2 linked regions of the Mus musculus genome follow. The protein of the gene in region 1 interacts with the protein of each later gene in a pairwise test. Links are inferred from orthologs where the notes say so. Each region holds a gene or a part of one and is shown on either strand. Other genes may lie near its edges.

What was found. The genes of interacting proteins can lie anywhere in the genome.
Region 2: the proteins of Kat5 (region 1) and Zc2hc1c interact in binary tests that used the Homo sapiens proteins (3 or more experiments, as listed by UniProt). The link is inferred for Mus musculus from reciprocal best matches to the Homo sapiens genes KAT5 and ZC2HC1C.

What each region holds. Positions count from the first base shown.
Region 1 is NC_000085.6:5,607,258-5,611,615, reverse strand, and holds the start of Kat5 (histone acetyltransferase KAT5), read left to right. Parts: upstream 1-1,521; 5' UTR 1,522-1,586; coding exon 1,587-1,598; coding exon of another isoform or gene 1,599-1,697; coding exon 1,698-1,764; intron 1,765-1,871; exon of another isoform or gene 1,872-2,084; coding exon 2,085-2,153; intron 2,154-2,243; coding exon 2,244-2,380; intron 2,381-2,631; coding exon of another isoform or gene 2,632-2,658; coding exon 2,659-2,814; intron 2,815-2,903; coding exon 2,904-2,978; intron 2,979-3,286; coding exon 3,287-3,361; intron 3,362-3,651; coding exon 3,652-3,900; intron 3,901-3,975; coding exon 3,976-4,065; intron 4,066-4,358. UniProt on the Homo sapiens protein: Catalytic subunit of the NuA4 histone acetyltransferase complex, a multiprotein complex involved in transcriptional activation of select genes principally by acetylation of nucleosomal histones H2A and H4.
Region 2 is NC_000078.6:85,287,381-85,291,431, forward strand, and holds the start of Zc2hc1c (zinc finger C2HC domain-containing protein 1C), read left to right. Parts: upstream 1-1,210; 5' UTR 1,211-1,405; intron 1,406-2,171; 5' UTR 2,172-2,190; coding exon 2,191-3,501; intron 3,502-4,051. Other genes in the region: Acyp1 (acylphosphatase-1), read right to left, coding at 798-963.

The sequences.
Region 1 (4,358 bases):
CTCCACCCCTGTGAGGCTGTTGTGAGTAACAGTGGTGATGCTTCAGTTCCTCAGGGGAAGACTGGATGTTCTGAAAGATGGCACAACTCAGAACTCACAAGAGAGAAAAATGCCGTGTGCTGTCATATGCCTGTTGTCATCCTTGTGACAAGTCCCAGGCCAAGCAGGGCTACACAGTGAGACTTCACCTCAGAACAAACAATAACAAAAGGCCTATTGGCTTTTCAGTACTTCTTATGCTGAACATATTTTGCACACAGATCAAATCCAAGTGTTATTATTAATGCTCCTGTGATGAAACCAATCCTTTACTTCTGCACATAAACTCTTCTCAAAGTGGCCAAATGGACCCGAAACCATTTAAACTGGGAACACTTAGAAGTAAGGCTAAAGGGCCCCACTACACCCTTTAGGCATGTTATCAATATCTGTGATAGTTATTTTTGGTTGTCCATTTGACTACATCTGGATTTCACTAAAACCCAAAAATGGAAGAACACATACGTGAACAATTTTGCCTACTCTGAAGTGGGAAAACCCACTGCTTTGTGTTTTTAAGAGGATTTCTCAGTGTAGCCCTGGGTGTCTTGGAACTTGCTCTGTAGACCAGGCCTGCCTCTGCCTCCCCAGTGCTGGCAAGCTGGCTTGGTGGAAGATCCACTTTGAATTCACATCTTTGAGGAGGGAGAACACACCTTTGTTATTCAAACCTATTCTTGTTATTCAAAGTCAGAAGATGCACCTTCTGCTGGAAACTAAAAGAAAGACATGAAACAAGATTTTCCTCCCTGCCACCCCCAGGACAGGGCTTATCTGTGTAACCCCGCTTGTCCTGGAACTGACTCTGTAGACAACGCTGGCCTCAACTCATAGAGCTTCGCCTGCTTCTGCCTCCACTGCCAGCCTGCTTTTACTCTGCCTACTTGCTCTCACTCTCGTTGACAAGTCCGCTCCTTCACTGTCATTAGCGCCTACTTCTTTGGGATTCTGATGTATAATGAAGACCAACTGAGACATCCATTCTTGTTGACTGAATGCCTACTGGAATTTTGAACCTTCCATGTATACAGCCACATATATACTATTTTAAAAATAGAAATCCAGTATTAACGGAAAAATCTTGCTAAGCCCCCAGGCCTGTGCAATCTTATGCAGACACCTGGGTGGATCTCTAAATCCCTTCAGGTCTACTGACTCCCCAGGGTTCAAAACCCCACTCCTTAGCTTCTTACTCAGGGTGACACCTCACACTGCCACTAAGAGGCTCGCCAGAACACTGCCTCTAGACAAAGCCTAAACATGATCTGAGTGACCGGCGTCGCACCCGGTGGGCGTCACGTGACAGACTCGGCGTTCCTCCAATCGCTGTGCGAGGAGCGGGGATTCCATCTAGTACTTGGCCTCAGGTTTACAACGTCCTGCTCTTCCATTCCCCAAACGGGCCGGCTTTTTGCTACCAACCAGCTAGCAGTGATTCTCAAGTGTTTCCCTTTCAAACAGCTTCAAGGGGCTCGGGCCTATAGCGCACTCAGCTCCGGAAGTGACGTCTCCCAGAGGGGCCGGAAGTGGCAGTGGAGGGAGGGAAGATGGCGGAGGTGGTGAGTCCGGTGCCCGGGGCGGGGCGGAGGGAGCCAGGGGAGGTGGGTAGAGCCCGAGGCCCCCCAGTAGCCGACCCTGGCGCCGCGCTGTCTCCCCAGGGGGAGATAATCGAGGGCTGCCGCCTGCCCGTGCTGCGGCGCAACCAGGACAACGAAGATGAGTGGCGTGAGTGACGTCGGGGGGCGGGTCCAAGGAACCTGAGGGCGAGGGGCGGGAGGGAGTCAACGATCGCACGGGAGGGGGAGGGGCTTCTGCAATCCCGGGGCGGTCGCAGATACTCGGGAGGAGGGGCGTGGCTTTTGGACGTACGGAGATGATCCGGGCGGGGCTTGGAGAGAGGTGTCACTTGGTGACTAAAGGGGTCTTGAACCAGCCCCTCTGAGTGCTGGGACACAGGCCTCCAGCCTGGAGGTGGGATTCAGGTCGAAGGGTGGAGTCTCCTGACCTGCCCTGGCTAAGACTCCCTGTCTGTGTGGTTCTCATAGCCCTGGCTGAGATCCTGAGCGTGAAGGACATCAGTGGCCGAAAGCTTTTCTATGTCCATTACATTGACTGTGAGTCCTGGGCCTGGATGGAGTGGGGTTGCTGGAGAGGGTTGAGGGCAGCCTCTGGCATTCCCTCCTGAGCCGTTTTCACTGCTGCAGTCAACAAACGTCTGGATGAATGGGTGACTCACGAGCGGCTGGACTTAAAGAAGATCCAATTTCCCAAGAAAGAGGCCAAGACACCTACCAAGAACGGACTTCCTGGGTCCCGCCCCGGCTCTCCCGAAAGAGAGGTGGTGAGTAGGTCCCCCATTTCATCTTTTCTCTCCTGCCTCTTCCTTCTTGCATCTCTTGGCCTCAGGGGTTCCTGAATGGGCAGGAGGCAGCATTCTTCTGCCATGGCTTCAGCTTGCAAAGGATGGGGACCAAGTTGCAGGCGTAGCTTCCAGAGTCCAGCACTGCCTTGCTTTAGAGAAGGCAGAGGGTGGGATTCCATGCTGAGGGGCCCATCCCCCCCTTCGCCATCCCACCACCATCCCCACCCCAGAGGAAGACCCTGGACCTATCTCTGCAGCCGGCCTCCGCCCAGGCCAGCGGGAAGACCTTGCCAATCCCGGTCCAGATCACACTCCGCTTCAACCTGCCCAAGGAGCGGGAGGCCATCCCAGGTGGCGAGCCTGACCAGCCGCTCTCCTCCAGCTCCTGCCTGCAACCCAACCACCGCTCAACGGTACCCTCAGCAATTCCAGGGACCTTGCTTTCTTCTCAGGTCCCACCTTCTCTACCTTCTGACCCACCTTTCCTGGTTTCTCTCTGCAGAAACGGAAGGTGGAGGTGGTTTCACCAGCAACCCCAGTGCCCAGCGAGACAGCCCCAGCCTCGGTTTTCCCTCAGGTGAGTCTTCCAGTCTTTTTTCATGTGTCTGAATGTTTTGTCTGTGTTTTGCATGTGTTCTACTTGCATGCCTGGTGCAGGTGGGCAGAAGAGGGCATTGGAGCCACTGAAACTGGAGTTAGAGATGGTTGTGAGCCACTCTGTGGGTCCTGGGAAAAGAACCCAGGAAGTCCTCTGGAAGATCAGGGCTCTTAACCACTGAGCCATCCCAACAGCCTGCCTGGTCTTTCCCCTCTTATTCCTTGCTGTCTAGCATCCTCCTCCAGGATCATCTCACGGTCGCTCTTTCTCTTGTGTCTTGTCCACAGAATGGGTCAGCCCGTAGGGCAGTGGCAGCCCAGCCTGGACGGAAGCGGAAATCTAATTGCTTGGGCACTGATGAGGTGGGTCTTGAGGAGCAGAGGGAGAGGGAAGCCGGGAAAGGGGGAGTGGGCTTGGGCATGGTGTTCACTCGGTGAGGCCTTAGGCAGGGAGGGTGGTGGCTGGGAGCCAAGCAGATGAACCCCTGGGCCTCTTCTACTCTCAGTTTCTCAGCCTCGCTTTATTTTGGAAGTGGAGGTTGGTGCTTTGCCCTTAGCTGATGTTAGACTTGCAGGAAGAAGCCAATGGCAGTGTCGTGCGCCACGCTCTGCTTAACTGCTACCATCTAGTATTTGCCATCTGCCTTGGGCAGGATTCTCAGGACAGCTCAGATGGAATACCGTCAGCACCACGAATGACTGGCAGTCTGGTGTCTGACCGGAGCCACGACGACATTGTCACCCGGATGAAGAACATTGAGTGTATTGAGCTTGGCCGGCACCGCCTCAAGCCGTGGTACTTCTCCCCGTACCCACAAGAGCTTACCACGCTACCCGTCCTCTACCTGTGCGAATTTTGCCTCAAATATGGCCGTAGCCTCAAGTGTCTGCAACGCCACTTGGTATGAGGGGTCTTGGGAGGCTGCCTATCCAGAGTACCCTCACCAGTCCCCACCTGATCCTCCTTTTGTCCTTAGACCAAATGTGATCTTCGGCACCCTCCAGGCAATGAAATTTACCGCAAGGGCACCATCTCCTTTTTTGAGATTGATGGACGGAAAAACAAGGTTAGTGGCTTGGGCACGGCTGGGCTGGAGTGAGTCACATGAACAACCTTTTCCTGCTCAGAACAGTTGACCATTCTGCCTATGAGCAGGTCACTGTTTTTATTGAATTCTTGACACGGAGCAGGGAATGTACAGAAAACTGGGATTTAGAGAAATTTTCTTTCCTGAGAGGTCACTGTCACGGCAGAGCAGACATGACAGCTACTCAGGTTCCAGTAACAGAGGGGGTTCAGCACAGTTCACAGGAAGCTGTCATCAGAGCTTGGAGGTGTGTGTGCCTATAATCCCAGCAC
Region 2 (4,051 bases), on another chromosome or scaffold:
TAGGGAGCCTGTCTCAAAACAAACAGCAAACAAAACAAAACAGAAGAGACTCCAGTGGGATCCTAACACAGAGAGAGACAGACCCAGGGATGGGAAGGGGAACTTTTCTTGCACAAGGAAGTTATGTATACTTGAACACTAGAGATTCAGGGGGAGAGTATGGAAACGAGTTAGAAAAGATGTATGGGAAAACCCATAGAAGCTGACTGAGGCAGGGTCCTAGTCCGTGGGAAACCTCTGCAATGTGGAGAAGGCCGAAGAGCCAACTGGGAATGAAAAGAATGACTGACAATCTGCCCTAGAGAGTCCACCAAGGAATTTTTTTTTGTAGCGCATAAAAGCTGACATCTGATCTGTTGTATTAACGAGACTGCTGTCTACTTTATTTCCCACGTGCTCGAATCTTCTGTGTAGTTACAAGAAAAACGGAGCTATCTGTTCCAAAACAGCTTATCCAAATGAACTGAAGCACGAAGAAGACAAATAAACTCTCTTCTGTTGTCAAAAAGTTACAGAGGACCATTTAATGTTGAAATCAAGTTATGTTCATTACTGTTGATCTGGTTGTTAACTTTATTATTGTTACTTTTGGCTGAGTCATTCCTGGGCCCTAAGTAGTAACGGTCACGTGAGAGTGAAACGTTATAATAGCAAAATGATTAGATTGGCCATAGAAACTACCCTGGGACTATAACACGTAGTGAAATAATAGTAAAGCTAATATAATAGCAAGCGCCAAAGCATTGCGAGGGAAGACAGCCCGGAGCATGTAGCCTGGAGCTCTTACATAGCCCTACCTGGGGCCTGAGCGCAGTAGCCGAGCGCACTCAGAAGGGTGATCAGCAGTCCCACTCCCGCTAGCTGGACAGACTCCCGAATCCTGGGGCGGGATGATTCCGCAGCCCATCTAGGGGCTCCACCCTTCTCCAGACAAGGGCACACCCTAAGGTCTGGGAGCTTCATTCTCGGAGAAATCCAAGTTCTTCTTTGATGTAGCCCCAGAAAAACCTCTCCAACCCCTCCCCAAGGGAAACGCTGATCTGAGCTGCGGAGTTGGCTGCACCTCGACAAGTGACCCGACTGCACCCGTACTCCACCTCCCTTCCCTCCTCCCCTCCCCACCTCCCTCCCCACCTCCCTCCCCACCTCCCCGCACTCCCTCCACCACCTCCCTCCGTCCCTCCAACCCAATCTGCCCCGGCGGCTTTCGGATTGCTTGTGGACTGCGCCTGCGCACATCTGGAGCTAAAAGTTCTCAACCAGAGGCGGTGCTCTGGTCTCCAGGCAACGGGATAACAGAGGTGGACAGAGAGCGCCTGCGTGGACGGCGGTTGGGTTTAGTCAGGTGTGGAAAACTAGGTCTTGGGGATTTTCCCTGAGCTGGAGCGGCCCCCGAGCGCCTCAGGTACGCCGAAAGGGGAGATACTGAGACCTCCCGAGGGGTTGGAGAGTGAGAGTTTATCCCTAGAGGCCGGGTCCCAGTAAGGACTCCCGTTTGACCCTCTGGGACAGAACATGACTCTGGAGTTCCGGATCCAAAGCGGGCTGGGGCGCTCAGGTGTCTGTCACCCCCTCTCCCAACACACTCTCTTTACAAGCCTGGTGCGGTTTGAGCCATAGAGCATCTTTGCATGAGGGCTTGACAGCCGGGCACCTGCTTCAGGCCCGGGTGGCTCGTGCTCTTTGTAGTTTGTAGCAAGGGGAAAGTCCAGGGAGTGCTTTGGGCCAGGCCCTGTCGCCAGGCCACTGTTCTCACCCCGTAAAACCGTGGGACTGGACTCAGAGCGGCCTCTGCAATTTACAAGAACCCGGGGCTGGTAAGAGCAGGTTGCCTGTTTTGTGTCACGGACGACCTTCTATCTAAAGCTTTTCCCACCCATTCCATAAATGGTGTAGAGCAGGTCATCTACAGGCCTGGAGGAAAGTCAGTGGCAGAACACCTGTGTCACGTCCATTCTTTGGTCCTCGGGGCTTAGCAATGTCTGGCCTGGCACATAACCATCACTCCCTAAATGCTTATTGAAAGAATGTCCTGGCAGAGCCAACACCACAGTCCCGAGAAACGTTTAAAGGGAATGTGGGTAGGGCAAATGGACAAACAGTTTACTCTAGCAGCCGGGAGTGAACCTCAGACAAATTCTTCACATGTATCTGCTTTAAATCTCCCCTAGGCTTCGGTCCAGGCACTGAATGGCTGGTCTCCAGTTGGCTCCACATCTGCCTGTGGGCGTTATGTTCCCACATAATAAAACAGAAGCTCCTGGACTCCACTCAGCTAAGCACGACCCTTACGAACAAAGTGACTCTTCCCAGCGGCCCTCGATGGGACATTTGAGGAATAGTTTCCAGTCGAAGCTTTGGAGCAACACAGAAATGGAGCAGGAGGACGAGGTCTCCACCCGCCCCAAAAGGAACGTCTGCACAAAAGCCCGGAGGCACTCCTGTCCCCACAGTGCAGGAATCAGGCAGCAAGGCTCAGGGAACAATGCCCAGGGCCAAGGAAAGGGTCTGTTTTACTTGTCTAGTCCGACACCCCGGTATCCCAAAGCAAATGACCAGGACTTCATTCCCTTTAGGAGGAAACGAGTGGGAGTGGATCGGGCTTACCCACTGAAACCCATGGTCCACCGGAAGTCACATAGTACAAGTGATGCGGGCGCAGACGGGGACCAGAATGGCTACCCAAGACTCCCTGACTCAAGTGAGTTTTCAGACAACAGCTTTGGTTTAAGGAGCTGGGTGAATTCATCTCTTCTTGCCTCTGTGCAGGCAGAGAAGGTCGTGGCGGAGCTCCATAGGACCGAGTGGACCCAGATCCAAAGGCTCGAAGCTGCAGGGGAGAGTTTACAGAAGGAGATCCGCAGAAAGGAGATTCTCCTACAAGAAAAGCTGAAGAAGACAGAGGAGGGTCTTCGAAGGATGCAGAAGGAAAAGAAACAGGCCATTTTCCAGGAAGACAGAGAGCTACAAAGGATGGTACTACCTAGAAGGAGGGTTCGAGATGGTGACCATGACACCCCACACAAACCCTGCTTGTCCCCAGAGTTCAGGTCTGAGGTATTCAGTAGAAACAGGGGAGAGGATCAAACTTGTGATCAGGCTCAGGAAAACCCTAGTCCACGCCAGCTCTCTGATTATGAACTCCAAAAGCTCAAAAGGGAAAGACTGATGGCCAGTAACAGTAAAATCCGAGATCAAGACGCAGGACCCTCAGCAGACGCGTTCTTTCAACCGGCAGAGGAGCTGGGCAGTACACTGCAGGAGTCAAGTCGGTCCGGGACACCAGGCTCCTCTGGGTCCAGCTCCTCCACAGAAGAGCCAGAGCTGGCCAAGTGCAGCCACTGTGGACGATCGTTTCTTTCCCTCAGGCTGCAGAGACACTCCACCGTCTGTGGCAAGATGCAAGGGTCCAAAAGAAAAGTGTTTGACTCTTCCAGGGCCCGGGCGAAGGGCACAGAACTAGAGCAGTACTTGAACTGGAGGGGACCAGCCACAGCCAAGGTAATAAAAGCCTCCTAGATTTGACTCTGTGCAGGGGTGCGTGGAATGGCCTGCTACGCCCTCACTGGTTTGCTTGTGGGAACTGGGGTAGTGTAGGACGGAGGGGAGAATCAGGATTTCTGTTTGCCTAGTCTCTCTAGTCAGAGCTTTGTGTAGGAGCCTCACAGTTCTGTGAGGGTAAGAATCTTATTGTGTCCGTGGGAATGTCATTACATTCATTCAAAAACCAAGGCCTAGGCTTCCCCTAAACGGATACGTGTCTGCACGCTCGTGCACATGCTTGCACACACATTGGACAGTTTAAGTAGATTCTTATCTTTCAGTGATGTCCTCAGAGACCCATGGGTAGTAGATCTACAGTCAATTGCTAATCAATAGCTCTTGCTAGTTACTATCCTAACACCTTTATGAATAGATAAATCTTAACTTTAATTGACCCCAAAATCCAGACTTCAAAATGTATGTCCTTTTGATTATTATAAAAATGAATTCGTGTTTGCTGCAGGAAAAAAATATTACACTTAAAACTTGCATTTAAAAAAACAACTAT